7 linked regions of the Cricetulus griseus genome follow. The protein of the gene in region 1 interacts with the protein of each later gene in a pairwise test. Links are inferred from orthologs where the notes say so. Each region holds a gene or a part of one and is shown in the gene's direction. Other genes may lie near its edges. The genes, in order: Ddit3, CCAAT/enhancer-binding protein alpha, Batf, CCAAT/enhancer-binding protein gamma, Fosl2, Cebpe and Hsd17b14.

Region 1 (4,048 bases):
CATGCACGTCCCAGTCCTTACTGTAGGTCATGACCCCAGACTCCTACAGGCCCGCTGCTCAGCAGGGAGTCACAGGACTTGCGGTCAGGGAGAAGAGAAAGGGTGGGCGCCGAGCAGGGGTGCGATAAGTAGGGGGTGGGACTCGGGTGCACGCTACAAAGAACAGGAATTCTGGCGTGCAGTGGGCGACTCAGAAACAAACGCCAAAGGTGCTCCCCCGAGACAAGCGGGTGGACTACCATGGAAATGCCAGGACCTCAGCCTCTGGGAAGCGTTAGGAGGTTAAAAGAGATGAGATCCCTTCTAAAGGGCTGGAGAAGATGTCAGTCCAGGTAGGACTAATGGAAACTTTATCGCGGTTCCAGGGCCTCGGCGCGCATGAGCTGGGAGGGGCCGGGAAGCTGGGAGTCTGGATGGAGGAGCAAGTTGGAGGTGATGGGAGGTGGGTGGGCAGAGCCGCAGCTCCTGGGCAGACAAGTTCAGGAAGGACAGCCGTTGGGGCCGTTGGATACTGGGAGCTGGCGCTCCGCCCTCTTCCCTCTCACCCCCCCACCCGCGCCTCCCACCACCGTCGGCGGCCCCTGCGCGTGCGCGCGCGCAGACACCGGTTGCCAAACATTGCATCATCCCCGCCCCCCGTCATCCCTCCCTCGCCGCACTCTCCTTCGCCCGCCCGCGCGCGCGCGCGCGCGCGCGCGTGCATGACTCACTCACCTCCTCCGCGGAGCCTCGTGACCCAAAGCCACTTCCGGGTCCGAGACAACGTAGCTCTCCAACCAGAGGGCGGGGCGGAGGCGGGGCCGAGGGGGCTCCTGAGTGGCGGATGTGAGGGGTGGGGCGGAGTCAGTGCCAGCGTGCCGCTTTCTGATTGGCAGGCTCCTGGGTCCCGCCCCCAAAAGAGGGGACGGGCCCGCATAAAATATCTTCTCTCGGCGCTGCAGAGGTCAGTAGCCTGAGTCTCACACTTCGGTCATATCATGTTGAAGATGAACGGGTGGCAGCGACAGAGCCAAAATAAAAGCCGGGACCTGAGGAGCGAGGCGAGTACCGACGCCGTCTACCCCTTCTTTCCCCATTCTCGCCAGCATGGCTAGTCCATAAAGTTGGGGGCGACTGCTCTGGAGGATGTAGCCCCACCCCTTCCAAAGTGGCCCTGTAGTCGGAGGGAGGGATGGAGGCGGGAGTCCCTGACCCTGGAGTGGCGCTCACATGACCCCTCTTCCTACGGGCGATTGCATCACCGTTCCCCTGCCTAGTTAGACTGTGCCGTTAGGCAGAGGGACTCTGGTTGTCCCCGGGAGATCCATCCTCCTCCTCTGTACGGCGAACTGCGGGCCATCCTAGGCCTGTCCGGTGAAAGGCGGGGCAGCAGGACACACCCCCATATAAAGGACTCTGGCTTTTCCCCCTCTTATCCAACAGCTTCGTTATCCCCGGCTCTCCCAAGCTCCTCGGGGGCCAGCATGGCCACCTTAGTCGCTGACCCTAAAGTTCAAGAGAATCGTAAGACTGACAGACCTTTGCTAGCGGGGTGCTGGTGGGAGGAGCACAGATGGGTTTTCCCCTTTTCCCCGGAGGCTTCTGTACAAGAGAGCAGCCTGGATCTGTAACCGTGGGACATTATTTGGGCTCTCTCCAGGGTCTTGTGCTGCTCCTAGGATTGAGTTCTGTCTCTTTCCCCAGTCCACTCCTCACTAATCTCTGTAACCATTGCGTCAGGCCGGCCCACTGTTTATCTCTGCGCCCTCTGGCCTGGGGCTCCACTGCTGATGAAAGCCAGGCCCCACACACTGGAAAACCGAGGGAGTTTCCCCCAGAGGACAGCCCTGCAGAGAAACACTCAGGGCAATATTGCATCTCCAGTCCCCAGAGATAGGCAGCACCGGCTCTGCCTCTGGGCTTAGCCCTCCATTCTCTGTAGGGGAAATTGGGGGAGTGGCTTTTTCCCTATTCATTCCTAACAAATGCTTAATAAACATCAACTATGTGCCAAGCATTTGAGAACCCAGAGTATATGAGGAGCAAAAGATAAAACTGATCTCAATTCGGCCTGGGCCTGTATTTCTGCAGAAAGCAAGAGCTGACAAATAAGAGTGCTCAGGATTGTGGGTGTTAGGAATTGCCTCACTGGGGTTTTTAGTGAAAGATCCAGAGAAGGCAAGCCTGTGAGCCATGCAGATAGAGTAAACGAGCTTTCCAGAAGGAACTGTGGGAGCAGAAGGGTTAAGATAAAGCATGTCTGGTAAAATAGGGCAGTGGCTGGATGGGAGTGAATATGAGAGAGGGTGGGGTAAACAGGAAGCCACTGGAGGGATCTGGGTAGAGGAATGAAATAAGGCCCAGTGTCATGGCATATGTATTTGATTCCAACACTCAGGCAGGGGCAGGCAAATCTCTGAGTTCAGGAGCCAGGACTACATAGTGAGACCTTGACTCAAATGAATACAAAAATAAAAGGATGGGAATGTAGCTCAATGGTAGACTGCTTGCCTAGCTTATAGAGGACCTATGGTCAACCCCCAACTATGAAACTAAACTAATAAAAGACAGGAATAGAAATGGTAGATCTTGATAGAGCATGGTGACATACACCTTAATCCCAGCACTCAGGAAGCAGAGGTAATAAAATCTGTGTGTATTTGAGGCCAATTTGGTCTACATAATGAGTTCCAGGACTGCCATGGCTACATCGTGAGACTCTGTCTAGAAAAAAAGAAATGGGAGATTTCTTGAATGAGTCTTCCACAGTAATCTTCGGGAAGTGAGGTAAATTGATTTCCATTTGGAAATAATGGGAACAGAAATACTTAGGCTTGCTGGATGGCAGTAACCCACACCTTTAATCCCAGCACTTGGAAGGCAGAGGCAGGTGGATCTCTGTGAGTTCAAGACCAGCCTGGTCTATAGAGCAAGTTCTAGGACCTTGTCTTGAAAAAAAAAGAAAGAAAATACTCAGGCTTTAGGTACTTAAAAAGAATGTATTAAAGCTGCCTGTGCTGCTTTATACTGAGTTGTGGGGATGTGAGAGGAGGAAGCAAGGATACCTTTTTTTTTTTTTTTTTTTTTTTTTTGATTTAAGCAAGTAGAGTTGCCACTTAGAATAATACAACCTAGGAAAGGAAAGGCCAGCAGGAGATTGTTGTAAATGCCTGATAGACATTCAAAAGGTGATATAGCAAGTAGACAACAGAGTTGGAGGTCCCAGGACAGGTCTAGACCAGAAGCGGCCAATATGATATTGGAGTATATGTAGCAAGTGCCACCCACATATTTTTCTCTTCCCTGTAGTGCAGCCCTCACTCTGGCAGATTTGAGGTCTATCTGGAATTTAGAGAAAGCTTAGTTGGCTAGGATGTTGCTATTATGTAATCAGGACAAATGTCAGTAACTAAAAATAAAATCAAGCTTGCCTCTGTCCTTGGAATTGGCGCACGTGTGTGTGTGTGTGTGTGTGTGTGTGTGTGTGTGTGTGTGTGTGTGTGTGTATGTGAGAGAGAGAGAGAGAGAGAGAGAGAGAGAGAGAGAGAGAGAGAGAGAGAGAGAGAATCAGCCTGGTCTACAGAACTAGTTTTAGGATAGCCAGAGTTACACAGAGAAACTCTGTGAAGGGGCGAGAGGGGAATAGAGAAGGACCAAAGGATAAAAGGCTAGAGGTAAAGACCCTGTTTCTTTCCCTTCAGACAGTAAACATGTATCTCTGTTCTCCACAGTGTTCCAGAAGGAAGAGTATCTTCATACATCACCATACCTGAAAGCAGGTAAACTTCACCAACCCCTTCTCAAAGTTAACTCCCAATGCTGCTTAGGGTCACTTTGCTGGGACAGTAGTTAGAGAGAATTTGATTTCAACAAGCTTTTGCTGTCAGACTGTGTCTTTCTCTGACACCATAACATTATTTTTAGAGCACTTCCCAAATGAAAGCTGGCTCTCACAGCCAGCCTCAACAGTGGCAATTGGCTTGTCTTTCCGATTCAGTCCACACCAAGGTTAGACAAACCCCAAGGACCTTTTGCCCAAGCTTCCCACACAAGAGAAAGGAACACAAAT
Region 2 (4,123 bases), on another chromosome or scaffold:
CTCCACGGCCGCGATCCAGGTGGAGAATGAGCCCGTCGCCAACGCCACGTGGCTGGGGAGACTATGCAGGCAAACTCCTACCCAAGCTGCGAGCCTGCAGGCGGCGCGGCCCCGAGGATCCCCGGGACCCGACAGGGTACTCCCAGGGGGTGCTCAGACTCCGTAGCCAGGGACTGGACACTCAGGCGACGGAGATTGGCGCCCACCCGAATGACAGGAGGGAAAGAAACCTGTGGCTTTAGGCTCCTGACTAAGGATCCCGCTTGGGGATCCCGCTCACCTCCTCTCTGTCTCTGTCTTTCTCTCTCCCTCCCTCTCTCTCCCACACCCTGCCCTCTCCCCGCCCCCGCGCGCTTGCCCTGGTGTCCTGTTCCCCGAGTCTCGGAGGACCCACCCGCCGGTCCCGAGGTCCCAAGCGCTCGGCTAGAGGCTCCACACCAGGCAGCAGCGCCCGCCTTGGAAGCCTAGCAACCCCGGCGCTCTGGCCGGGAGACGTAATTAAAAAGAAAGTTTTCCAGCCGGAGCGGATGGACCGGCCAGGTCCTCGGGACTCCCGGGTTAGCGGCCGCCTTCGCTCCCTGCTGGGTCCTAGCGCCCTGCTCGGCGGATCCCGCGGGACCCCGGGGTAGGGAGGCTGGCTGGGCGGGGAAGAGGCGCCCCGCCTGGAATAATCAGCGGGGTCGCCTGGAGTGGAGAGAGAGAGACACACACAATCTCAGCGCTCCGGCCCCTGCCACTCTGCGGCGCGCGCCAGGTCGCCGCTCCAAAGCAAGTCACAAAGCAGCTAGGTCCCTGGCTGGGGGGGGGGGGGGGACAGGCCTAGTCCTAGCCTTTAAGACCAGTCTGCACCCCGGTAGCTCAAGACGAATATTCCCTCTCCACCCCCTACCCCTACCCCTCCCTGCTCGGCCTCTGGATGCTCCCGGGCTCCCCGGTGTTGGCTGGAAGCGGGTGACTTGGGCAGGCTTGCAGGAGGGGCGCCCAGCCGCGGACCACGTGTGTGCGGGGGCGACAGCGCCGCCAGGGTGGGGCCGAGCGCAGGCCGGGCTGCCTCGCAGCGCAGGAGGCAGTGGGCGTTGCGCCACCGCCTCTCCCCCTGCACGGTGCTCCCGCCCCGCTCGCCGCCTGGGAGAAACACAGAGGGCGAGCGAGAGACAGACAGCGGGCTCTAAGACCCAGCAGGCGCCCTGCTGCCCTCGCCCTGGGCCCGGGACCCTCTTGGACACCAGGGGGCGACGTCCGATCCCCCTATAAGAGCGGATCGCGCGCGGGCCTGACCATTCGCGACCCGGAGCTGCGCGGGGCGCGCGAGCGAGTCGGGGGCTCCGGCGGGGCGGGCGGCGAGCGGGCGGCGGTGAGCGGGCGAGCGGCGGCGGAGGCAGCGGCGCCACGCGCAGGCTGGAGGCCGCCGTGAGGCTCGCCATGCCGGGAGAACTCTAACTCCTCCATGGAGCCGGCCGACTTCTACGAGGCGGAGCCGCGGCCCCCGATGAGCAGCCACCTCCAGAGTCCCCCGCACGCGCCCACCAGCAGCAGCAGCAGCAGCAGTAGCAGCGCCGCCTTCGGCTTCCCCCGGGGCGCGGGCCCCGCGCCTCCCCCAGCCCTACCTGCTGCCCCGGAGCCGCTGGGCGGCATCTGCGAGCACGAGACGTCCATAGACATCAGCGCTTACATCGACCCGGCCGCCTTCAACGACGAGTTCCTGGCCGATCTCTTCCAGCACAGCCGGCAGCAGGAGAAGGCCAAGGCGGCCGCGGGCCCCGCGGGTGGCGGCGGCGGCGGCGGCGGTGACTTTGACTACCCGGGCGCCCCGACGGGCCCCGGCGGCGCGGTCATGTCCGCGGGGGCGCACGGGCCCCCTCCGGGCTACGGCTGCACGGCGGCCGGCTACCTGGACGGCAGGCTGGAGCCCCTGTACGAGCGCGTCGGGGCGCCGGCGCTGCGGCCGCTGGTGATCAAGCAGGAGCCCCGCGAGGAGGACGAGGCCAAGCAGCTGGCGCTGGCCGGCCTCTTCCCCTACCAGCCGCCGCCGCCGCCGCCGCCGGTGCACCCGCACGCGTCTCCCGCGCACCTGGCCGCCCCGCACCTGCAGTTCCAGATCGCGCACTGCGGCCAGACCACCATGCACCTGCAGCCCGGCCACCCCACGCCGCCGCCCACGCCCGTGCCCAGCCCGCACCCCGCGCCCGCTTTGGGGGCTGCGGGCCTGCCCGCCCCCGGGGGTGCGCTCAAGGGTTTGGCTGGCGCGCACCCCGACCTCCGCCCCGGGGGCGCCGGGGGCGCCGGCGGCGCAGGCGCGGGCAAGGCCAAGAAGTCGGTGGACAAGAACAGCAACGAGTACCGGGTGCGGCGGGAACGCAACAACATCGCGGTGCGCAAGAGCCGCGACAAAGCCAAGCAGCGCAACGTGGAGACGCAGCAGAAGGTGCTGGAGCTGACCAGTGACAATGACCGCCTGCGCAAGCGGGTGGAGCAGCTGAGCCGGGAACTGGACACGCTGCGGGGCATCTTCCGCCAGCTGCCCGAGAGCTCCCTGGTCAAGGCCATGGGCAACTGCGCGTGAGGCGCGCGGCTGCGGGACCCCACCGCCTTTGGGCCGGCCACCCCACCCCACCCCTGGCCGGGGACCCGGAGAATGAGTTCGGGTCGCTGCATCTCCAGGCTGCCCCGGGCCCGTGAAAGCCAGGACTAGGAGATGGCGGTGTTGTCGTCTGAGAGCTTGGCCTACTCCGCGTGTCCCCTCCCTTCCTCTGAGCCGGGACTCGGTGCGTCTAAGATGAGGGAGTCAGGCCGCAGTTTTTCTCCTGGAGCCCGGGAGACTTGTCCGCGGAGCTGAGCCGGGAGCCCGCCCGGCCGTTCTAGTATTAAGTAAGGAAGTCACCCTGTGCCTTGGATACTCAGAACTCGCTCCTTTTCCTACCGAGTAGGGGGAGCACACATGTGCCTTGATATTTTATTTGGAGGATCCCTGCCTTCTCCGAGGCTGCGGCAGGCCCCCCCCCATGAGAGCATGAAGGGTGCAGGCCCAGGGCAGGAGAAAGAAGATTCAGGAAGCTGAGATCCCGGCAGGCAGCGCTCCGCTGCTGCCCCTCCGTCCCTGTCCTTAGAGGGGAGGGACTTAGGGAGTTGGGGATTTGAGTCTGTAAGAGTACCCCTCCCGCACCCCTCCCCCTCATCCATTTGGAGGTGCACGGTTCTTACTTTTCCCACCTCCACCTTTACTCCGCACCTCAGCTTGCAACAGGCTAAGTTTCCTGGGTGAGTTCGTGGAGAATGGGGGGCGCCACCCCCAGCTAGACCAGAAAGCTAGGCTGTAAGTTAGCCATGTGATTAAGGGAGTAGTGGGAGACGGGAACCTAAGTTTCTGGTCTTGGGGGGAGAGGGGATGAAAGGACACCGGGACCATCAGCCTTGTGTGTACTGTATGTCGCCAGCCGCTGTTGCTGAAGGAACTTGAAGCACAATCGATCCATCCCAGAGGGACTGGAGTTATGACAAGCTTCCCAAATATTTTGCTTTATCATCCGATATCAACACTTGTATCTGGTCTCTGTGTCCCAGCGGTGCCTTGTGCAATGTCAATGTCCACGTCTATGCTAAACCACCATTTTATTTGGTCCTTTTGTTTTGTTTTGGTTTTGCTCAGATTCTTGCCAAAATGAGACTCTTCGCTAGCGGCTGGGGGAAGAAGCTCGGGCCCTCTTTCCTTTTTGGTTTGGGGATTTTTTTTTTTTCTTTTGCTCCCGGAGGACCACCACCCTCCCTCCAGTTTTCCCAGGGTGTCGTTGTGGGTCTTAGCTTCTTCCAGCTGAGACTACTGTATACACAGGCATCCTCCCCCGCCCCCACCCTCAGGCCCTGGCTCTGGGTCTGGAAAGAAGGTCACCTCCAGCCAATTCGTGCACACCCCTGTGGCTGGGAGCAGGGGTGGACTGCTACCTTCTCTTCTTTGGGGGGAGGGGGCACACACAAAGTTTCATGCTAGATGTCGTATGTATTATATCTATAATATAAACATATCAAACTCAACTTTGGTGTCTTTTTAAAACCAGAAAGGAGCCACTTGTAAGGTGTGTTCTGGGTTCCATTTGAAATGGCATTTTCTGTGTCTGAGGTCTCAAGC
Region 3 (4,123 bases), on another chromosome or scaffold:
ATTTGGCTTTGAGCCACACTGGGAACATAGCAAGACATTTTATTTTCATGTGTATAAATGTTTTGCCTGCACGTGTGTGTGTGTGTGTGTGTGTGTGTGTGTGTGTGTGTGTGTATGTGTGTGTGTGTGTGTACCCTGTGCATTTCCTAGTACATGAGGAGGCCAGAAGAGGGAGTTGGAGGCCCCAAAACTGAAGCTACAGATGGTTGTGAGCCCCCACGTGGGTGCTGGGAATAGAAAAACACAAGTCCTCTGGGAGAGCAGCCAGTGCTATTGACTGCTGAGCCATCTCTCTTCCCCAAACCTGTTTTAGATCACCAAAGATGAGAATGGGATTCTTCAGGAAAACTACAAACATGCTTTGTCATGGCACATATGACAAGCATGAGCATCTCCATAGCATGCTTTACAGGGTATGGGGGCATTACAATTCAAATTGTTCCTCACTCATTGCAGTAACCCTGAGAGGTAGGCAGGGCAGGTTTTAGGTGGGGGTGGAGGTAGGTTTTCATCACTGTTGATCTGAATACAAGTCCAGAACTTCCCTCACCCATTTTGACATTCACTCCTTGCTGGGTTCTGACCTGGTGACTGACTCCTAAAGATTCAAGGTCAATCTTGAACTCCTGAAGGTCAACCTCTCCACCGAAGGCATCCCTTTTCTTGGGAGAATGTCAGAGCCCTGCTGAGAGGCACAGGTGATGGTAAACTCCACAAGCCCCCTTCCTCTGTTCCTAGCAGTATGCCTCAACTCTGCCACACTTATGCTCCCACCGTGAAACTTTCTAGGAAGCAAGGGACAGGGTGTACACGGTATACATTCCAGAGCCTCTCTGTGACTCTCAGAGAGTCCCAACTTCTTGTTTGGCAGTCTGTAAAAGACAGTGCCCTCCTTCTCCTTTGTCCCCAGAACACCCGCACTGTCCTGTGGGTGACTGAGGAAGGCTCAACCCAAAACAGGGTGGGCAGCTGCTTTCGGGTGAAACCCAGAAAGAGGTCCCGGTCTTGTTGCTTTATTTGTGTTTAAAACTCAAGTCGTGTGCCGGTGGAAACTCTCTCCCGCTGTTCCCCGCTCTCTGCCATGTTGACAGAAGAGGACTTGCTAATTCTGGCTGGGGATTTTCCCTGCCTGGCTGTTTTTCTCTTTTATCTCCATCAATTGAAGAGAGCTTGCTCTGCCTTTCAAACTGCCGGAAGAAACTGGGGTTTTGTGTATTTTTTTTCTTTCACCTAATTCTGTGGTCTTTTCCCAGATATGTATTTTCTCTCGAACTACCTTCTAACTTGTTGACGTTTCCGCCCATGTGACTTCCAGCTTGAATTACCAGAAACCACAAGAGAGAGCGTGTGCGCAAGCCCCAAAGTAAGCGAGATGTCCCTTTGGGGAGCAGTCCCTCTGCACCCCAGAGACAGGAGGACACAGGGGGCCGTCGGAGGTGGCTGCCGGGCAAGCAAGGGAGACACCCGTGGAAGGTGGCGGGCCGGTGGCCCCCTAGCAGTCAGGAAGAGGAGCCAGCTAGTGAGAAGATCGCCCAGGGGCATCTGGGCGGTTGTGGGAGAGTCCGGAAGATTACAGCCATGCCGCACAGCTCCGACAGCAGCGACTCCAGCTTCAGCCGCTCTCCTCCCCCTGGCAAGCAGGTACCCCTACATCCCCTGCCTTCTAAATACCCTGGGGTGGTGGAAGAGGGCCACACTCCCCAGTTCTGCCTGGGGAGCTTTTGGGGGGGGGAGGAAGTAGCTCTCTACTTGGCGGGGTGCTCTCTAGCAGAGTCTGGATGTGGTATTTGCTATTCGGAGGTACAAGTGGCAAAGCCTTCATCCCGCCACAAGCCCCCTTCCTCTGTTCCTAGCAGTGTGCCTCATCTCGGCCACACTTAGGTTCCCACTGTGAAACTTTCTAGGAAGAAAGGGTCAGGGTGAATATCACAGAACTTAGAGGAAGGGTTCATACCGCTAGCAGAGGAATCTGTCAGTAGGCTGCTGGCGGACTCCACCCAAATCCTAGATCTGTAGCTTTCCAGGAAGAGCCAAGGGGCCAGACAGAACCGAGGTTAGGGAAGAGAAATACAGTAAGCCAAAGCAAGGTAGGGAGGAAGGAAAGGATAACTAATCTACCGGCCCAGGGACGGCCTCTGTGACTACAACAGTCAGTGGGGAGGGAGGCTGAAGTCACAGCCAGCGTCTTTCCCTGAGGCTTCCAGAGAGGAGAAAGAAGGCAGTGGCTCTGGAGGTTTGTTGGAGACCTGAACTAGAAGCTAACATCATCTTTGGGAAGCCGGGGACGGAGGGAAGGATTCTGGGAGTCTTAGAGCCTTGATTGCCAAACCTAGATGCTTCAGCGCAGGAGAGATGCCTCAGATGGGATGCCCTTCCCACCTTGAAATTTCTGGAGCTCTCTCTACCACATTCTTGACACCCTTGCTCTAGAAAACTCTCTTCCTCATCCAGCATAGACCCACTGGATTAAGCTTTTCTACATCTCAGTAACTTAAAAACTTCATCCTCTCCTTAGCACACATATAGGGCAGGGCATATCGCTCAAGGGCAGAGTGCTTTCCTTACACATATCCCAGGGGCTTGCAAAATGCTGCAGCCAAAATAGAAATATGCAGCCACCCCTTACCACATCTGTCATAGGCCATCATCTGCTATTACACCTACTGTAAGCTCCTAACCAAAAAGCCGTACCGGTGAAGACCTCTACAGGAAAATAGTCAGTCCCTTGGTCACAATGGTATTGGAGTGGCTCAGACTGTGTGGAAGATGGTACCATACTCTTCTTAAGAAGGAAATTACTCAGAGTTCCATGGTAAACTCGTCCCCTGCAGCATTATGAGAAGGGTGCTTCCTTGCTCTATTTCACCAAATGTCTGCCTGCTAGAATGATCTGGAAGTTTTGGATAAAGAGGGAAGAGGGTCAGAGCCTGGCCCCAGGATTTGTGACCTCTCTGACAAGGTAGGAGTTGCTGAAGGGCTTCTCTTAGTGTCTTCACTGACCTGCAAAGCTAGAATGAACCTCCCTGATCTTCTTTAGGACTTACTTACATCCAAAGCATGCTTTGTCTTCCAAAGTCCACATTAGTAGCTCTCTAAAGCAGGTGGCTTCCACCTCAACTCATAGACTTATTTATGGCCCCTCATTGTAGCAGGCATCAAAGGTCTGGACTAGAAAGGTCTCAAGATGGCTGCACAATAAAGGGGATGAAGGAAAGAGAGATCTGGGGTGGGGCCCTCTGCCTAAGGGTGCAGCACAAGAAAATTGCTGGTGGAGAGGGGATTCAGGCTTTAGAATCAGCACCAGGAGATGTCATATCCATGGATGGCCATGAGCTCAAGGACCAGCGTGGCAAGCCTCAGCTTCATCCTGCGTAAAATAGATATGACTGTACCTGCTCAGAGAGCTGGGGGATTGTAGCATAGTATCTCTGAAAGCACTTGTACAGACATTGGCACATAATGGATGCTCAACAAAGTTTTCAAGAAAAAAAGAAAACAGCAAAAGGAACACCAAGAAGGCAGGCGCACACACACACACACACACACACACACACCCCAGATAGAGAATGTGGGGGTAGAATAGCTCTGGAGAGAGCAGAGGTGATGGGACAGATATCATTGTCTTATCTGAGGCTTCCCAAAGCAGCCCTCCTGAAGCCTTGATGTAGCTATTTCTTCATGTAGCTTTTGATGAAAAGAAGGCCATGGGCAACCTGAGGGCCGGTAGCAGGGAATGCTGAAGGAAATGTCTTTGGGTGCAGGCTTTTTGTAAATAAGAGTATGGTTGGTACAGAAGGAACTGAGGACCAGGAAGGAACGAAGGAACGAAGGAAGGAAGGAAGGAGTCAGTTAAACGATAGAACCCATTTTGACTGGAAGAAAGGGATGGACCTACCTAGTTCTTGCTTTCACTGCTTGTTAGGACTCATCCGACGATGTAAGAAAAGTTCAGAGGAGGGAGAAGAACCGCATTGCTGCCCAGAAGAGTCGACAGAGGCAGACACAGAAAGCCGACACCCTGCACTTGGTGAGTACCCAGACTTCTTATGGTGCTCTTGTGCCTTAGGCTCTTCACCCCACGTCAGTGGGGCTGTGAGAGCCAGCTGTGATGGTTCTGCTGTGG
Region 4 (4,270 bases), on another chromosome or scaffold:
CCAGGCATCATAACTTTTTTCCCATAAGTGTCTTTATGAAAGTGGTGCTGGAACCATGTCTCTCTGGTTCTCAGAGTAAGCTTCATGTGGGCTGAGACTGTGCGTTTGCCTTCTTCCTTGCTGACTTCCAGCTTAGTCCACACCTCAGCACATAGTTGGCACCAAACACGTCTGTACACAGGGAAAGTGCTACCAGCTATCTGGTGAGGAGGAAATCTCAAGACTCCTGGGCTTTTTTGTGACTGCTGGGTGTGGAAGGCTTGTCTAGACAACAACACAGAAAACAGAGCGGCTGGCAAACCAGAGGCTAACTCAACAATATGCGTATGTGATACGCAAGGCTGCTTTTATTTTCCGTAGTTTTATATGATTACAAAAAAAAAATCATGATTTTGTGAGGGACAAAGCACAGTCCAACTTTGATAGCCTTGAAGAAAATCTGGCTCATAACACAGAGGTCCGAACCTGAAGAGACATAACTGGTCTTGATTGCCTTCTCAGTTTCCCAAGCGTGCACAGGGTTATCAGGGTTCACTCTCTGCGGTTGCTCTTTTCTCCCCCCTTTTTGAAGTTATTCTCATCTCCCAGGGATTCCTCGAAACAGTCTTACGTGGAGACCTGCTCTCCTGGCCTTGGCAATGAAGAAACATTTCCCCTTTGCAAGCCAGCGAGTTCTGAATGATAAGCATTGCTAAAGAGGAAGCAATCAAACCCTATCAGGCTGGGCTCTGCCCTCCACCCAGCGCGCTGCTTCCTGTTTTTCAAAAGTGCTTTTTCTGCTCCTGCTGTGAACCGTTTGGGAGAACCAGGGCCGCTCTTCACTTTCAGAGACCGTGCCATGCATGCTGCCCATCACCTGTCCTCACGGAGGCGAGCCCGCTTGGGAAATCACGGCTTGCCCGCAGTCCTCGAGGGTGTCGAGCGTGCTAACCCTTAACTCTTGCAGCTGTCAAAATAATAATAATAATAATAATCATAAAGTTTGCACAAGCCTCAGCGCCCTAAGGCCTTAACACAAAACTCAAGCCACTCAGAAATCCACCCCAGGAAGCGTCGCTTCCCAAAGGCAGGCGGCCGAGGGCCTCGCAAGGTGACAACTCAGAACTTTGATTCTCCAGGGGTCACTCCCGCCGCCGCCCGCCCATGGCAGCAGCAGCAGCCAGCCAGCCAAAGGGGCGAGCAACCGCGGAGCCCGCCTGCAGCCACCGCCGGTGCCGCCACGCCCACCAGCCCCGCCACGCCCCGCCCCTCGAGGCCACGCGGCCTCTGGTTGGCTGGCGGCGCTGCCCGTCATGAGGGGCGGGCGCGTCCCTCGCAGACCGGGGCTCCTATTGGCCGCGGCGGCGGCGGCAGCGGCGGCGTAGCGGCGGCGGCGGCGGCGGCGCGCGGAGCGACGACGACGACGACGACGACGAGGAGGGCGGGGGAAAGCCGGCGGCGGCGGCGGCGGCGGCGGCGCGGCGGCGGCGGCCGGCGGAACGGGCGGAGGCTGCCGGTTTCGTAACCGTCGCTCCTCCTCGGCGAACTCGCGGGCTGCGGGGCCTGGGTCGGGTCGGGCCGCGGCGCGCGGGGCCGCTCGGAGGAGTGGAGGTCGCCTGGGGGCGGCGGGCCGGCCGGAGGCGCAGGTAAGGAGGGGTCGGGGGAGGAGGAGGAGAGGAGGCCGCGGCCGAGCCCCGCCGCTCGCGTAGGTGCCGGCCCGGGCCCGACGCGACCCGGCCCGGCCCGAATCGGCAGGTTGGCCCGGAAGGCCCCTTCGCCGGCGGCCGGCGGCTGGCGGCGCGGGCGCGGGCGGGGGCCCCGAGCGGCGTCTGATGCAACCTGCGGGCAACACCCGGCGGGGTTGAGCTCATCCCTGGCCGCGGCCAGGCCCGGCCCGGCCCGGGCGCCCCCTCCGCCGCGGGCGGGGACGGGATGGAGGACCGGGCGGCCCCCGGGGGTGATGGAGGGTGCCCTGGAGGAGGAGGACGGGGAGGAGGAGGGGGACCCTCCAGTGCTCGTTTGGAGCCACCTAGCACCCCGTGCTGTCTGTCGCTCGGTCGGGGTGGCGGGGAGAGGTGGGGAAGGCCCCCGGTCCCCTTTGGAGCTGTTACCCTGGTGACGGCTCACCCAGGGGAAGCGCCCCGTGCACGTTCAGACACACAGGGTTGCAAGAGACGGGCATTGTTTGGTCTGGGTTCTGAGGACATGCGGTTCAGCCGCGACGGGGACCGGGAGGGCGACCCGGATCGCGCACCCACCGCCACCACCACCGCCACCGGTTCCCCGCCAAGCAGCAGGTCCGGCTGCAGGGAACGCGGGGGAAAATGAGCCCGCCGAGGTCCCCAGGTCGGGCGAGCATGTGTGACGGGGTGGATGGATGGTGTCTTTGCAAGGGTGAGCGTGTGTGTGCGTGTGTGTTTGCAAGGGTGAGCGTGTGTGTGTGTGTGTGTGTGTGTGTGTGTGTGTCTTTGCAAGGATGAGCGTGTGTGTGTGTGTGTGTGTGTGTGTGTTTGCAAGGGTGACTGTGAGCGTGTGTGTGTGTGTGTGTGTGTGTGTGTCTTTGCAAGGATGAGCGTGTGTGTGTGTGTTTGTGTGTTTGCAAGGGTGAGTGTGAGCGTGTGTGTGTGTGTGTGTGTGTGTGTGTGTGTTTGCAAGGGTGAGCGTGTGCGTGTGTGCGCGTGTGTGTGTGTCTTTGCAAGGGTGAGCGTGTGTGTGTGTGTGTGTGTGTGTGTGTGTGGTTTTGCAAGGGTGACTGTGAGCGTGTGTGTGTGTGTGTGTGTGTGTGTGTGTGTGTGTGTTTGCAAGGGTGACTGTGAGCGTGTGTGTGTGTGTGTGTGTGGGTGTGTGTTGCAGGGTGAGCGTGTTGCGTGTTTGTGTGTGTGTTGTGTGTGTGTCTTTGCAAGGAGTGTGTGGTGTGTGTGTGTGTGTTTGCAAGGGTGAGTGTGAGCGTGTGTGTGTGTGTGTGTGTGTGTGTGTGTGTGTGTGTCTTTGCAAGGATGAGTGTGTGTGTGTGTTTGCAAGGGTGAGTGTGAGCGTGTGTGTGTGTGTGTGTGTGTGTGTGTGTGTGTGTGTGTGTGTGGTCTCAGGAAGGTTGGCGTGTTTAGTTTTGCTCCTGTGTGAGGGCTTTGTTTTTTTGTTTGTTTGGTTTATTTTATTTTATTTTTTATATATTGTAAGCCTCATCGTTAAGATGTGTCAATTTTAGAAAGGTTTTAACCTTTGGGGTTGCACAACAGCTGGGGGTGGTGTCTCCCGAGTTTCCACCCCCTTTGAATCCTTTACTCGAATAGAACACCATCCAATGCAGACCTGAGGAACATTTCACATGAAGCTTTCTTTACTGAGGAATGCTACACAGGAGAATGCATTGCGGGGTGGGTAGGCAAGCCCCTCTGCTTCTGAGCCACACCCCAAGCCTTCAGAGAGCTCTGAGGTCTTCTGCTGTTTGATAAGCAGCCCCTAGGGTTATTTCCCTGTTTCTGAAAAACTGTCAATAATTACAGGATGCTAACTGAGCTGAAGAAAAAAAAAATTGAGCCTGTTTCCTGCCTCTGGTGGACCTGCTTGGCTGACTCAGTTATTTTTGTTACCTAGGAGAAACAAATAGGTGGGAACAGACGCCACCCCTCCCCCAGCGTCTTTAAAGTCTCACAAGCACGTCATGATTGTCAGCCAGGCTCTGTGATCTTGGAGAGGTGCCTCCATCCCTGGCGCATTAAATGATCCCCAGGAAAGCCCCTGGGAACCTTCCCTCCTGAGGTCATGGGAAAGAGACAGAGCACCCGGTCAGGTCGAAAGTTGCCTCACTCAGTCACAGTAATGACTAGTAAGTTTATTGGTTCCCTGCCTATCCCTTTGCTCTCCCCTGCTGTCAAAGGGGATGGAGGAGAAGAAAACAAAACAAAACAACAACAAAAAACATACCTCACCAAAACCTGAACAGGAACTCCTAATAAATGTATATTCCTAAACATTTTTGTTTTGAATGTGCTAGAAAAGGTTTAAAGGGTAACATTCAAAGAAACATGGCGTTTTCTTCACATCCTCCAGTGGAGTGTCCTCTCCTCCGTGGGTCTTGCCTCCAACAGTCTCCATGGAGACACAGAAGCTGAAGTTCCAAAGACACTGGGGGAGTGGACTGGACAGAAAGCACAAAGGGAAGAAAACAGACATTCGGGAGCACTTGGTAGTGGCCTTGAGTTAGCATCAGGGAGCAGGGACTGTAGAGGCTGGGGGCCTGTAGTTTGGAGCCATAGACATGGGTTTCCAGTAGCAAGATGGAACACAATTA
Region 5 (3,500 bases), on another chromosome or scaffold:
TCAGGGGAGTCCAGGGGCTGTAAAGAAACCTCAACCCAGGACTGCCACAAGACCCACAGGCTTTCTTGGTTACCAACTTTGTAAGGCTTGGACCAAGACAGGTTTGGGAGCAGGTCTTAGCTGAGTGGCCTGTGACCTCCGGTGGGGTCATCTAGATGGAATGGATTTACTCATTTGATGCTTTTTTTTGGCCACTCAGGACATCACAGCCATGGACTGCCAGGGTGGGAGGGAGCTTCCTGGGGTCCTGACCTGAGCCCAGCCCAGCTAGCACAAATGACTTGTTCCTCATGGTGTGGTCTGTAGTTAGGGATATTTCTCTCTCTGGAGCAACTTCAGCTTTTCCATGGTGTCATACTTAGACTCTTTGAAGCCCCTAGCAGAGCATAGGCACACAGTAGGCATGCACCCCTGTCTGGTCTGAACGGGAAGGTCTTCCCTTTATCCTGTGTTGTGCTTTGGCCCATGGCGTTCTCTTTGGCAGTGTGTGTGAACAGAATTCCTTGTCCCTGACTGGTTCACCAGAAGGAGCTAGTTCCTGATCTCTCCTGGGGGTGTGTGTGTGGGTGGTGTCCTTGAGTTCACAGCCCCAACTCCTGGGATTATGTCTCATATAGATGATCACCATCAATCAAATAAGCAGAAAGGCTGGACAGTGGGACTTTTATGCCTAGGCTGCTTTTTCTCTTGCCCAGCCTAGCACTGTGGCAGGCTTCCAAGGAGTCCTCGTGGAGACCTCTGAGAAGCTGGTACTCTGGTTGGCAGAGGAAGTTGGGAATACAGTGGTACCCATGGCCCTCCCACTGGTGACAATACATCAGCACCCCTCCCACCCCATGGGTGGATCTCACTTATGTGGAGACTCTACATAACCAAAGGTGGTGGTGAGGCTCATAGAGCGTGATGGGAGGGTAATTAGCTAGGCTTTGGAGGAAGCTGCTACAGCAGGTGAGGCCAGACCTGGCTTGCTGGCAGGGCTCTTCTCTGCCTAAGGCTTTCAAACAGAGCTGACAGACAAATCCTGCCCTGGTGCAGAGCCATTGAGCTCCTTTCCCACTCTTGGTCTGCTGTCCCCTTAAACATGCAACGTCACCTTGTCACATTCCAAAGCAGAGCCGTCTACAAGCTCCCTCCAGGCAACCACAAGGTACTGACCTCATGCCCTGGGGACCTCTGAGCCTGGCAACACATCTCTTTCCCTCCTCAATTCTAAAGGACAGCTTGTAGTCCTTAAAATACAGCTTTTTAAAATGTCATGAACCATTGCAGCATTCCGATCATGACTCTTGACCTTGGCCTCTTTGGCCTCTTTAGCTGTCTCCTGAAGAAGAGGAGAAGCGTCGAATCCGGAGGGAGAGGAACAAACTGGCTGCAGCCAAGTGTCGGAACCGTCGCCGTGAGCTGACAGAGAAGCTGCAGGCGGTAAGGAGCTGTGTGTGGTGTGGCCCTCCCAGTACTATCATTACAAGTGATGAGTCTGGAGAGACAGAAAATTCTTTTGAGCACATGGGTCAACATTATGCTCAACTGGGAGTGGGAAGAATGGATAAATGAATGTATAAGAATCAGCCAGGCAGTGGCAGTGTACACCTTTAATCCCAGCACTTGGGAGGCAGAGGCAGGCAGAGCTCTGTGAGTTTGAAGCCAGCCTGGTCTACGAAGCCAGTTCCAGGACAGGCTCCAACGCTACACAGAGAAACCCTGTCTCAAAAAACAAACAAACAAAACAAGAACCAGCCATTGCCATCGTGTAGGCCTAGAGAGGAGCAGACCACCTTTCTGGGCAGTATGTTTTCTCACTCAGTACCTAAGTGTGCTCTGTCGTCAGACCCCTGGGGCTCCTGGATGAGGGCTGATAGTTCCAGGGAGCTAGGGCAGGCACAGCAATACCTGCCTCTCCATGGCTCCTTTTCAGGGTTCCAGTTGCCCCCATTCCCAAGGTTAGCAAAGGTGGCCCAGCCTGACCGAAGCACCCTGATTTGAGTGGGGTGGGAGCAAGCACTCTCATGTAGACAGGTCACATGTCAGTTGAGTTACATTTTCTTGGAACTTTCGTCTATCCTTCATTGGCAGGAAGGTTTCCCACCTCTATGGTGAGCTGAGAGCTTTGTTGTGAGTCACTGTCCCATGCTTCTTAATTGCCCAGACCTGGAGGAGGGGGCACATGGTCCTGCCCCTCCCTCTTCTGAGCTTGACCTGACCAATGTCACGTAACTCCCTTCTGTGTCTGGCCCTGAAGGAAGGGCTGAGCGTCTGGTAGAGGAGGTCCCAAGCCTGGGACACAGTGCTCTCAGAAGGAGGAGATGAGCCGAGAGATTGTCCAAAGTCCTCACGTAGTGACTGACGAGTAGATCTAGAATTTATTTAATCTTTCCAGGGAGTTTATCTGCTTTCAGCTGTTTCCTTCATGCCTCAGCCCTAACTTTTGGGCACACTCACTAAAATATATACTTGGTGAATCCCATGGTGCCTGTACTCATGGCCTGAGGAGGTGTCAGAGTGGGGATGAGGGTAGAAGTTCTTCCTTCCCAGATGAGGCAGACCAGGGAGTGATCAGCCCACCATGGAGGCTCCCTCAGCGGAGACTTCCACTGCTAGCCATTCTCTCCTACTTCAAGGAGCTATGCCTTACCATGACTCCCTGAGGACATCCCTCAGCCCGGAACAGCCACTCCTCTGAGTCCTCCCTGCTTTCCTCTCTTCTTCCCAGAAGTCTCACACCCTACTTCTCCGCCTCCCCCACGTCCTGAGCTACCCAGGCCCCTGAGCCACATCCTCACAGGAAGCCTCTGACGTTCGTCAGACCCTTGAGACAGATGGAAACTTTTTTTTTTTTTTTCACGCCGGCATATACCATAGTGTGCTTAATGAAGCTCTTGCCCGTATCTCTTCATTTGTGAATGGGAATCTGTGTTAGAGAAAAAGTGGGGAGGAGACTGGTGACGCATGCCTCTCTTTTCCCCAGCCATTCCAATCCACAGACTGCTCTGGCTCTGTGTGAAGGAGGGGAGTGGAGGCTTCCCTGGTGAGCTTGGCATCCTCATAGGCTCTTATGGGCTGTCAGGTGCCCCTCTATTGGGCACAGTGGAACTAAATGTGTCCCTTGCTGTCTCTGGTCTAGGCATGTGGGCTTTAGAAACCAGAATAAGAAAGGGAGGATCCATCAGTGATCAGCTGAGCATTTATCACAAGCCAGGCACTTTTCGGTCCAGTGCTTAGGGTAGGAGTTTATGCGTGGGAGTCTGCTCTCATTCAGCATCCAGCTCAGCATCTGTGTCCCCTGGCGGGCTGAAATGGTAGAGTGAGCAGAGTTTCCCCTTCTCTATGAGTATCCCACTCTAACCTGTTGGGGGACCCAATGGTGGTACTGGCATCATGGGGGTGGAGTGTAGCAGCATACAGACTCCAGTCAGATGCATTGGAATTCAAATCTGGCCTCTCCGTTAGCTCTGTAACTTTGGGCAGATGGGCAAACTTCTCAGAACCTTGGTTTCCTCATC
Region 6 (4,031 bases), on another chromosome or scaffold:
TATCTTTCTGATATCTTCTGGAAACCTCGAAGTGTGCACATACCCACATGCACACGCACACACGTGCGTGCACACACACCCCTACAATTTAAAAAATAAAGACATTTAAAAAAGAAATGTGTCCTGTGATTTCCAGGACAGTCTCCAAACCTACAGAGAAACCCTGTCTTGGAAAAAAAAGAAAAGAAAAAGAAAAGGAAAAAAGAATCTGTCCCTCTCCCCAGAACATGTTAGTAATAAAAGAGACAAGAAGGTATGATGTCACACCTGTCAACTCAGCTCTAGGGAGGCTGAAGCAGGAAGACTGAGAGTTCAAGGCCAGCCTAGGCAAACAGGGAGCCTCAGCCTAAACAAATAAAAAGGAGTCAGGCAGTGGGGGCACACACCTTTAATCCCAGCACTCGGGAGGCAGAGACAGGTGGATCTCTGAGTTTGAGGCCAGCCTGGTCTACAGAGCAAGTTCCAGGATAGCCAGGGCTACACAGAGAAACCCTGTCTCAAAAAAAAGGGGGGGGGAGAAAGAAAGGAAAAAAAGAGAGAAAGGAAGGAAGGAAACACATTTCTCATTTCTACGTGTTTTCTTGCCACTAAACCTGGAGCCCTGCTTGAAGGGCTCTAGAAAACCAGAACCACAACAGATACCTCTGACTAGGGAGCAGGGCATTCCCAAAAGGAAAAGAAAAGTGAAATTTGGGGATTAGTGGACAATGAAGAACAGTCAGGCAACTACAGGCTTCTCCTATGGTCGCAGAGACATCCCCAAGAAGAGGTGAGGACAAGAGAGAAGACTTCTCAAGCTTACAAGAGGAAGTGGACACACTAGAGGTCAGAAAACAGTCATGCAGAAGGAAAGACAGCAAACGAAGCTACAGTGAGCTCCAGAGCCTGCATGCACACCAGAGCACAGGAAGTAGGAGGCAGAGCCTCTAGCCAGTGTGGGGTGGGGTCAGCCTGAGCCTCTTTCAGTGAAGGTGGAGCAACTGGGGCCTCCATGGATCTTGTCTGTCTGTTCTGGGGCAGCAGCCTGTGAGGTTCAGGGCCCATGTCTTGACCAGAAACCTCAGCTATGTCCAGGCAAACTGTGGCAGGCTGCTAGAGGTAGCCAGGATGGGAAGCATGTGAACAAGCCCTGTACAAAGACCAAGCCAAAGACCCTTAATAAAGCTGCACTCTGGAGGCAAAGGCGGGCAGACCTCTGCGAGTTCAAGGCCAGCCTGAACTACATAGTGAGACCCTGTCTCAAAACTAGCAAATGAGTGTGCCCTGTGCTAGGGCCAGGGGAGGCTTGGTCCTAGAATCTATTACTACTTCCCAAAACCCTCAAACAATGATGCCTACACTGGGGAGAATGCTGTGGGAGGTGGGGCTATACAAGGAACTGACTTACCCCCCGGGGAGGTGGAGTTCAGGACTTGGGGGGACAGGGAGGAAGATGGCTCAAGGGAGGAGTTTAGACCAAGTTGGCACTGGAGGAGTGCTTTCTCTACTGGCTCTGGCTTGGTGCCCTACTCTGCACAGATCTTTCTGGAAGCTGGAGGAAGACAGACACTCAGAGGAGCTACCCTGGACAAGGGGTTGGAATCCCTTAACCTAATAGGACAAGAGGGGACATTTTCCCAAACAGCAACTTCTGGACTGTGGCTGGGGCCTCACCAAAGAGCGCCCTAACTGCTAAGCACCCCTCCCTCTGGGGTGTGCCCTGCCCCTCCCTGACTCACACCAAGGAGAGAGGGGAAAAGGGAAGAAAGGAGAGGCTCTGACTACAGAAGGAAAAGGAAGCAGAGGAGGAGGAGAGAAGCCACGTAGGAGTGGGGGACAGAAAAGACCAGAGAGGTCAGACCTAGGGCAACTCTAGGGCCGGGGGAGATCAAGAGAGGGCAGGCTGAGCGTTCATCCCAAGGAGTGCCCCAGCACAGGACCCAGGGGCGGGGAGCCAAAGGGGCGGGACGGCTATGTCCCACGGGACCTACTATGAGTGTGAGCCTCGGGGTGGCCAGCAGCCACTCGAGTTCTCAGGGGGTCGAGCTGGGCCCGGGGAGCTGGGGGACATGTGTGAGCATGAGGCCTCCATCGACCTATCTGCCTACATCGAGTCTGGGGAAGAGCAGCTACTTTCTGACCTCTTTGCCATGAAGCCAGCACCTGAAGCCCGAAACCTTAAGGGCCCAGGAACCCCTTCGTTCCCCCACTACCTGCCGGCTGACCCTCGGCCATTTGCTTATCCCTCACATACGTTTGGCCCAGATAGGAAGGCTTTGGGGCCTGGCATTTACGGTAACCCAGGGAGCTACGACCCCAGGGCTGTGGCCGTGAAGGAGGAGCCCCGTGGGCCAGAGGGCAGCCGAGGTACCAGCCGAGGCGGCTACAATCCCCTGCAGTACCAAGTGGCACACTGTGGGCAGACAGCAGTGCACCTTCCCCCGACCCTGGCAGCACCTGGCCAGCCTCTACGCGTCCTCAAGGTAAGACCAAGACAGCTCTCCCTTGGTTCCTCCCCGGGTTGGAGCAAGATGGTTGGTTGGATGAGGGAACTCTGACATGGGGCTTACCCAACAAGTCTATGTTTGGTGCTCCTCTGTGAAAACGGCCCACTCCACGGCCTCGCTTCCCCACTCCGTGAATTCCGAGCTCCACTGTGTCCTGAAGACCTTGTGGTAGCTGCTCTGCCCTAATCTGCGGTCCATATACCCCTTCTCTTGCTTCTCGGCTGTGTGCTTCTGGAAGAGGAAATACTGCTGATTGTAGAATTGTAGAACAGGAGACTTAAAACAGACAAACCAAAGGAAAGTGTCCTAAGAGAAAATGAGAGCATGAAAGACAGCTTTGATCTCAAACCAAATACCAAGTGCATCTGGGTTCCCGTCTTTCACAGAGAAAGGGCAATGACTGGGAGATGGGAGCGGCCTGGGAGCCCTCTATTCCTTGGAAGCCCCAAGTGTGCCCTTGCTGCTGGGATTCCTGCTCAGCCCCTATTTTGCCTGCTGATGGACCCTCACTTCTCTGTCCCTCTGACTTGCCCTCCAGGCCCCTGTGGCTGCTGCTGCCCCTCCCTGCAGCCCCCTACTCAAGGCACCTTCCCCAGCTGGGCCCTCACACAAGGGCAAGAAGGCAGTGAACAAAGATAGCCTGGAGTACCGGCTGCGACGCGAACGCAACAACATTGCAGTACGCAAGAGCCGGGACAAGGCCAAGAGGCGCATTATGGAGACACAGCAGAAGGTGCTGGAGTACATGGCTGAAAACGAACGCCTGCGCAGCCGTGTGGAGCAGCTCACCCAGGAGCTAGACACCCTTCGCAACCTCTTCCGCCAGATCCCTGAAGCTGCCAGCCTTATCAAGGGTGTAGGGGGCTGCAGTTGAGCCTGCTTGGCAGACTATGGACACCAGACCCTAAGGACTCCTACCCTCCTCGGTCCCCAGAGTCCTGAACAGACGATGCCTAAAATAGGGATCATGGACAATGGCAGCCAGTAGCTGGGAAGGTCGGGACCATAAAGATTCTGTTGCTGAATAAACTGCAGTGTGACTTGATGCTGGAGCTGTTCACTGGGTCTCGGGCCTGGGCCTGGTGGGAGGGCTGTGCATATACACGCATGGAAGACCCCGAGGGCAGGGAATACATGTGGCTAGGTTCACATGTTCTTGTATCCGTGTACACATGAACACCTAGTAAATAAACCTAGTAATTGCTGCCCACAACTCTCTCCAGCCGAGCTTGCTTGGTGTCACCACTGCTCATGCCAGGGCCTGCAGCAGCCTCTGCAGACTGTCTTGTCTTGAAGAATTCTGGGGTTCAGGGTGATCCCAACACTGCACAGCACCAGTGCCAGGCCCACTGACCCTAGGCCCGCTTTCTTGCTTTAAGGCCTGGAAGCTCTTTTCCCAGGTGACTTTCTAATGACTCTGCCATATTTGTGGTCCCTTAGCTCTTGACCCAGCTCTCTGTCTCTCTTCTCTTGTTCCACATCTCCACTCCTATCTTTATTTCTCATCCCCTAGGCCCTGGCTCCCTAACACTGGAGAAGATGAAC
Region 7 (4,295 bases), on another chromosome or scaffold:
ATGCGCTCTCTCTATGGCGACAGGCCATGGCGGTCAGCCATTACCCTGTTCTTCTTCTCTTAGTCTCCCCATTCTGCCGGGCCTTATAATAAACTTATAGTCAATATGTCTCATGTCTAAGCATTTCTCTTCTCTTCTTTTTAAACAAAAGAATAACACTATTGACAACCAAACTGGTGACCTAAGTAAAGAAACAGACAGAGTCTCTCAAATAAACTTGGCCTGGCCAATATGGCTAAGATGGTTCTCCCCCTTCACTGGCCCTGTAATATTACTTCTACTTTTTATCTCTTTTTTTTTTTTTTGGCTTTTTGTTTGTTTTTTCGATTTTGGGGTGGAGGGAGGTTTTTGAGACAGGGTTTCTCTGTGCTTTGGAGCCTTTCTTGTCTTGTAGACCAGGCTGGCCTTGAACTCACAGAGATCCACCTACCTCTGCTTCCCGAGTGCTGGGATTAAAGGTGTGCACCACCAACGCCCAACTTCTACTTGTTATACTTGTTATCATAATCTGGCCCTGTGCCCTCCAGTGTGTCACTAACTTGATCACTTGTCAGATAAACAATGTTAGAATCACTGCTGCTTGAGAATATTATTAAGACAACCCCCATCATGGACTTGACAGGGAAACACAAGTCAAGGGGGAACGAGGAACCGGTCTGACTCCATTATGCAGTTTTTTAAAAAAATAAGTTTCTGCAGGGCAAGAAAGCCTGTCTGGAAAATCCAAAAAGAATAAAAAATAAATAAGTTTCTATTTACTGTGAGAGTTGAGCTGCTCTCTGTTTTTTGGAATCTGACCTTGATTTGTTTTTGAGAATACCCTGGCTCTCCTTGACCCCTCCCTGACACCTCCCTAATCACATGATGGGTGACCTCATGACTTTTTAAGTTTTTTTTTTTTTTGTATTTTCTTATTGTCCCATTCTCTCCCTTCTGTAAAACTACTTGTGATTTTACTTCTTAAAAGAGGTCCAAGAGGTGGATTCGGGGCTGCTCTCTTTAACCTGATTTAGCAGGCAGTCACTGGCCAGCTCTTGAGTGAATCCCAATAAAAACAAGGCAGACAAGCTTGCTCCAAATTTGGATCAAATTGTGGTAGTGATTAACAGTATGAGGAAGTTGGGAGCCAGATATATTGTGTCTGGGGAAGGAGGCTGGAGAGCCTGTTTTTCTAGGTCAGAGGAAGAGGTGCTGATCTTATGGGTCTCAGGAACAGGGTTAGAGTCAACGTGATGGGGGCGGGCTGGGGCCAGGACCCTGAGTCTGAAGGAGGAGTGTCAGGGTGGGGACCCCAGCGTTTGAGAAAGAGAAGCTAGGACTCAACCTCCAGGTCTGAGGCAGGTTCGCAGGTGTGTGGCCCTCCCGGGAACACCCCTCCAGGGCCAGCCTACAAGGACCCAGCCTGTCTGGTTCCATCCCACTGCTTTCCTGGACTTTGGAGGTCGAAAGAGGCCGGGAGGGCGAGGGCGTGGGAGACAAGACAAGTCACCTGGGAATGGCAGCTGTAAACCGATACTCCGGGAAAGTGGTGGTGGTGACCGGGGGTGGTCGAGGCATTGGGGCTGGGATCGTCAGAGCCTTCGGTGAGTCAGGGTCTTCCTGCCCGATGTCTGAATGTGGGAAAGGGTGGGGTGGGGTGACAGATTCACGGAGTGGGAGGGAGAGACCTGGTTTCACTCTTTTTAAAATGATTTATTCATTCCTTAGTGATTTGTCTATTCTTATTTTTTTTTCTGTGCATTGTTTTGCGTTTGTGTGAGGGTGTTGGATCGCCTGGAACTGGAGTTACAGTTGTGAGCGTGTGGGTGCTGGGAATTGAACCCGAGTCCTCTGGAAGAGCAGCCAGTGCTCTTCGCCACTTAGCCATCTCTGCGGCCCTCAGTCTCATTCTTACATGAGGCGGTTTGGACTGTTGGGTAAGCTGGTGTAGTGATGGCTTCTGCTGGTGCCGATAAGACTTTTATGAAGAGTTCTTTGCCTGGCCAGGAGGCAGAGGCAGGTGGATCTTTGAGTTGGAGGCCCGCCTGGTCTACACAGAGAGTTCCCGGACAGGCAGGGCTGCACAGAGAAACCCTCTCGAAAAGCCAAAAAGAGTTCTTCCCTTGATGGGTCCCTAGCTACAAACGATAGCTTTGAGGAATGTTAGGTTTGGGATTTTTCTGGAACCTAGGATGGCGGTGGAGCAGAGGAAGGGAAATTCTGCCCTTTGAGAGGCCTGTCCCGAGGCAGTCACGAGAGCTGCCGAGAGCCAGGTGCTCTCCGTGTCACAAGAGGCAGCAGAGGCTCGCCCCGAGTCTGCAGGGTCCATAACTCACTCTCTCTCTCTCTCTCTCTCTCTCTCTCTCTCTCTCTCTCTCTCTCTCTCTCTCTCTCTCTCTCTCTCTCTCTCTCTCCTCTCTCTGTTGGCAGTGGACAGTGGGGCTCAAGTTGTTTTCTGCGACAAGGATGGTAAGTCAGTCCTCAACTATGCCTTCCTTCCGTCATCGCAGGGATCCAAGGCCAGCCCTGCTCCCTCAGACCCCAGACTCAGGAGTCCAAGCTCCTCCCCAGACTCTGATCCAAGCCTCAGCTCCCTCCCTCAGACCCGAGTCTTTCTCTTGCAGAGGTGAGGGGCCGGGCTCTGGAGCAGGAACTCTTGGGCACTGTCTTCGTCCCCTGTGATGTGACTCAGGAAGGAGATTTGCAGGTGGGCGTTCCCAGTGCACTCCCCCTTCTCCGTGCCCTGGGTCAGCTCAGTGAGCACAGTCCATCTGCCCCTTCTCGCTCCATTCTTTAGATCAAGCAGAACTTGAAATCCACACCCTCTGTTGTCATTTCTGATTCCCCTGCGCTCAGAATCAGTTCTGTGTCCCCAGGTCTGTCCCCAGTCTGTGCCCTGTCTCTGTGTCCCTGCCTCTGCCTGTCTGCTCCCCGCCCCCTCTGGATCTATCGTCGCTTCTTCCCGGACTCAGTCTTCTGCCCTCGCATTCATCTTCTATGGCGGTGCTGGTCACTTGACACAAGCTAGAGTCACTTGGGAAGAGGGGACTCAACAGAGAATATGGCCCCACCAAACGGGCTGTGGTGCATTTTCTTAATTAGTAGTTGATGTGGGAGGGCCCAGCCCCCAGCCCCCAGCCCCCTGGGGGTTGTGACATCACATAGCGGCAGAAAGGGGGCTGAACAAGCCACAGGGAGCAAGCCATGAGCAGTGTTCCTCCATGGTCTCTGCTTCAGTTCCTGTGCTGACTCCCCTCAGTGATGGCGTGTAACCTGAGAGTTGTAAGCAGAAATAAACCCTTTCCTCGCCAGATTGCTTTCGCTCCTGGTGTTGGGTCACAGCCATAAACCCTAACTATGACAAATAGCAACGTGGGTGCTTAGGTCTCTGGTCTGGGCCCCCAGCTTCCTGCCTTCTCTCCTCTTTCTAGACCTGCGCTGTGACCCTGAGCCTCTCCTCCCTCCCCCTACCTTGTCTTCCACAACTGAGCCTGTCCTTGCTTTGGCTTTTCCAAGGCTGCCACCTCACTGCTCATCACCTGCTGTTTGTTCTCTCCTCAGGCTCTGATTTCTGAGACCCTCTCTCGATTTGGCCACCTGGATTGTGTGGTGAATAATGCTGGCTACCGTAAGTTGTGTGGCTTGGGGCCTAGTGTCCCCTGATGTCAACTTACAACCTATTCCCTATTCCTTCCCCTTAGAGATGATTACATTTATCTGCACACCGGCATACAGTACTTGTGTGGTGTTCAGAGTACAACTGGAGGGGATTAGCTTTCTCCTTGTACCATGTGGGGTTGCGCTCAGGTTCTCAGGCTTGGTGGCAAGTGCCTTTACATTTGAGGCATCTCAACCCTTCCTCTGAACCTCAGTTTACTCCCTTCTCAGGCCACAGCCTTCGTGGTGTGTGTGTGTGTGTGTGTGTGTGTGTGTGTGTGTGTGCACGTGCACGTGCACGTGCACGTATTTTTATTTGCATGTATGTCTGTTCACCACTTACATATTTGGTGCCCACAGAGGCCAGAAGAAGCAGTTGGATCCCCTGGAACTGGAGTTACAGACAGTTGTGAGCTGCCATGTGGGTGCTGGGAATTGAACCTGGGTCCTCTGGAAGAGCAGCCTGAGCGTGCTCATAACTGCAGTCATCTCTCCATCCTCCCCCATCCTAATACATAGCTCTAGCCTGAGCTTCTTTCCTAGGCTATGTGCTCCCCATCTCCGTGACTCAGTTTCCATCTTTGAAATAAGAATTATCACAGCTGCAGGGTGGTGGTGGCACATGCCTTTAGTCCAGCACTAGGGAGGCAGAGTGGATC

The links.
Region 2: the proteins of Ddit3 (region 1) and CCAAT/enhancer-binding protein alpha interact in binary tests that used the Homo sapiens proteins (3 or more experiments, as listed by UniProt). The link is inferred for Cricetulus griseus from reciprocal best matches to the Homo sapiens genes DDIT3 and CEBPA.
Region 3: the proteins of Ddit3 (region 1) and Batf interact in binary tests that used the Homo sapiens proteins (3 or more experiments, as listed by UniProt). The link is inferred for Cricetulus griseus from reciprocal best matches to the Homo sapiens genes DDIT3 and BATF.
Region 4: the proteins of Ddit3 (region 1) and CCAAT/enhancer-binding protein gamma interact in binary tests that used the Homo sapiens proteins (3 or more experiments, as listed by UniProt). The link is inferred for Cricetulus griseus from reciprocal best matches to the Homo sapiens genes DDIT3 and CEBPG.
Region 5: the proteins of Ddit3 (region 1) and Fosl2 interact in binary tests that used the Homo sapiens proteins (3 or more experiments, as listed by UniProt). The two-hybrid records come from large-scale screens. The link is inferred for Cricetulus griseus from reciprocal best matches to the Homo sapiens genes DDIT3 and FOSL2.
Region 6: the proteins of Ddit3 (region 1) and Cebpe interact in binary tests that used the Homo sapiens proteins (3 or more experiments, as listed by UniProt). The link is inferred for Cricetulus griseus from reciprocal best matches to the Homo sapiens genes DDIT3 and CEBPE.
Region 7: the proteins of Ddit3 (region 1) and Hsd17b14 interact in binary tests that used the Homo sapiens proteins (3 or more experiments, as listed by UniProt). The two-hybrid records come from large-scale screens. The link is inferred for Cricetulus griseus from reciprocal best matches to the Homo sapiens genes DDIT3 and HSD17B14.

What each region holds. Positions count from the first base shown.
Region 1 is NW_023276806.1:130,434,180-130,438,227, reverse strand, and holds the start of Ddit3 (DNA damage-inducible transcript 3 protein), read left to right. Parts: upstream 1-1,248; 5' UTR 1,249-1,463; coding exon 1,464-1,503; intron 1,504-3,710; coding exon 3,711-3,758; intron 3,759-4,048. UniProt on the Homo sapiens protein: Multifunctional transcription factor in endoplasmic reticulum (ER) stress response. Plays an essential role in the response to a wide variety of cell stresses and induces cell cycle arrest and apoptosis in response to ER stress.
Region 2 is NC_048602.1:3,363,748-3,367,870, reverse strand, and holds CCAAT/enhancer-binding protein alpha, read left to right. Parts: upstream 1-1,323; 5' UTR 1,324-1,447; coding exon 1,448-2,563; 3' UTR 2,564-4,029; downstream 4,030-4,123. UniProt on the Homo sapiens protein: Transcription factor that coordinates proliferation arrest and the differentiation of myeloid progenitors, adipocytes, hepatocytes, and cells of the lung and the placenta.
Region 3 is NC_048598.1:118,099,470-118,103,592, reverse strand, and holds the start of Batf (basic leucine zipper transcriptional factor ATF-like), read left to right. Parts: upstream 1-1,323; 5' UTR 1,324-1,578; coding exon 1,579-1,641; intron 1,642-3,922; coding exon 3,923-4,027; intron 4,028-4,123. UniProt on the Homo sapiens protein: AP-1 family transcription factor that controls the differentiation of lineage-specific cells in the immune system: specifically mediates the differentiation of T-helper 17 cells (Th17), follicular T-helper cells (TfH), CD8(+) dendritic cells and class-switch recombination (CSR) in B-cells.
Region 4 is NC_048602.1:3,438,890-3,443,159, forward strand, and holds the start of CCAAT/enhancer-binding protein gamma, read left to right. Parts: upstream 1-1,470; 5' UTR 1,471-1,625; intron 1,626-3,573; exon of another isoform or gene 3,574-3,805; intron 3,806-4,270. UniProt on the Homo sapiens protein: Transcription factor that binds to the promoter and the enhancer regions of target genes. Binds to the enhancer element PRE-I (positive regulatory element-I) of the IL-4 gene. Binds to the promoter and the enhancer of the immunoglobulin heavy chain.
Region 5 is NC_048600.1:12,321,797-12,325,296, reverse strand, and holds part of Fosl2 (fos-related antigen 2), read left to right. Parts: intron 1-1,314; coding exon 1,315-1,422; intron 1,423-3,500.
Region 6 is NW_023276807.1:209,925,861-209,929,891, reverse strand, and holds Cebpe (CCAAT/enhancer-binding protein epsilon), read left to right. Parts: upstream 1-1,402; 5' UTR 1,403-1,952; coding exon 1,953-2,462; intron 2,463-3,024; coding exon 3,025-3,360; 3' UTR 3,361-3,531; downstream 3,532-4,031. UniProt on the Homo sapiens protein: Transcriptional activator. C/EBP are DNA-binding proteins that recognize two different motifs: the CCAAT homology common to many promoters and the enhanced core homology common to many enhancers.
Region 7 is NC_048599.1:154,464,429-154,468,723, forward strand, and holds the start of Hsd17b14 (17-beta-hydroxysteroid dehydrogenase 14), read left to right. Parts: upstream 1-1,495; coding exon 1,496-1,583; intron 1,584-2,409; coding exon 2,410-2,448; intron 2,449-2,603; coding exon 2,604-2,686; intron 2,687-3,540; coding exon 3,541-3,607; intron 3,608-4,295. UniProt on the Homo sapiens protein: Catalyzes the NAD(+)-dependent oxidation of L-fucose, yielding L-fucono-1,5-lactone, which rapidly converts spontaneously to L-fucone-1,4-lactone. Can also act on D-arabinose and L-galactose, with lower catalytic efficiency. Does not use NADPH.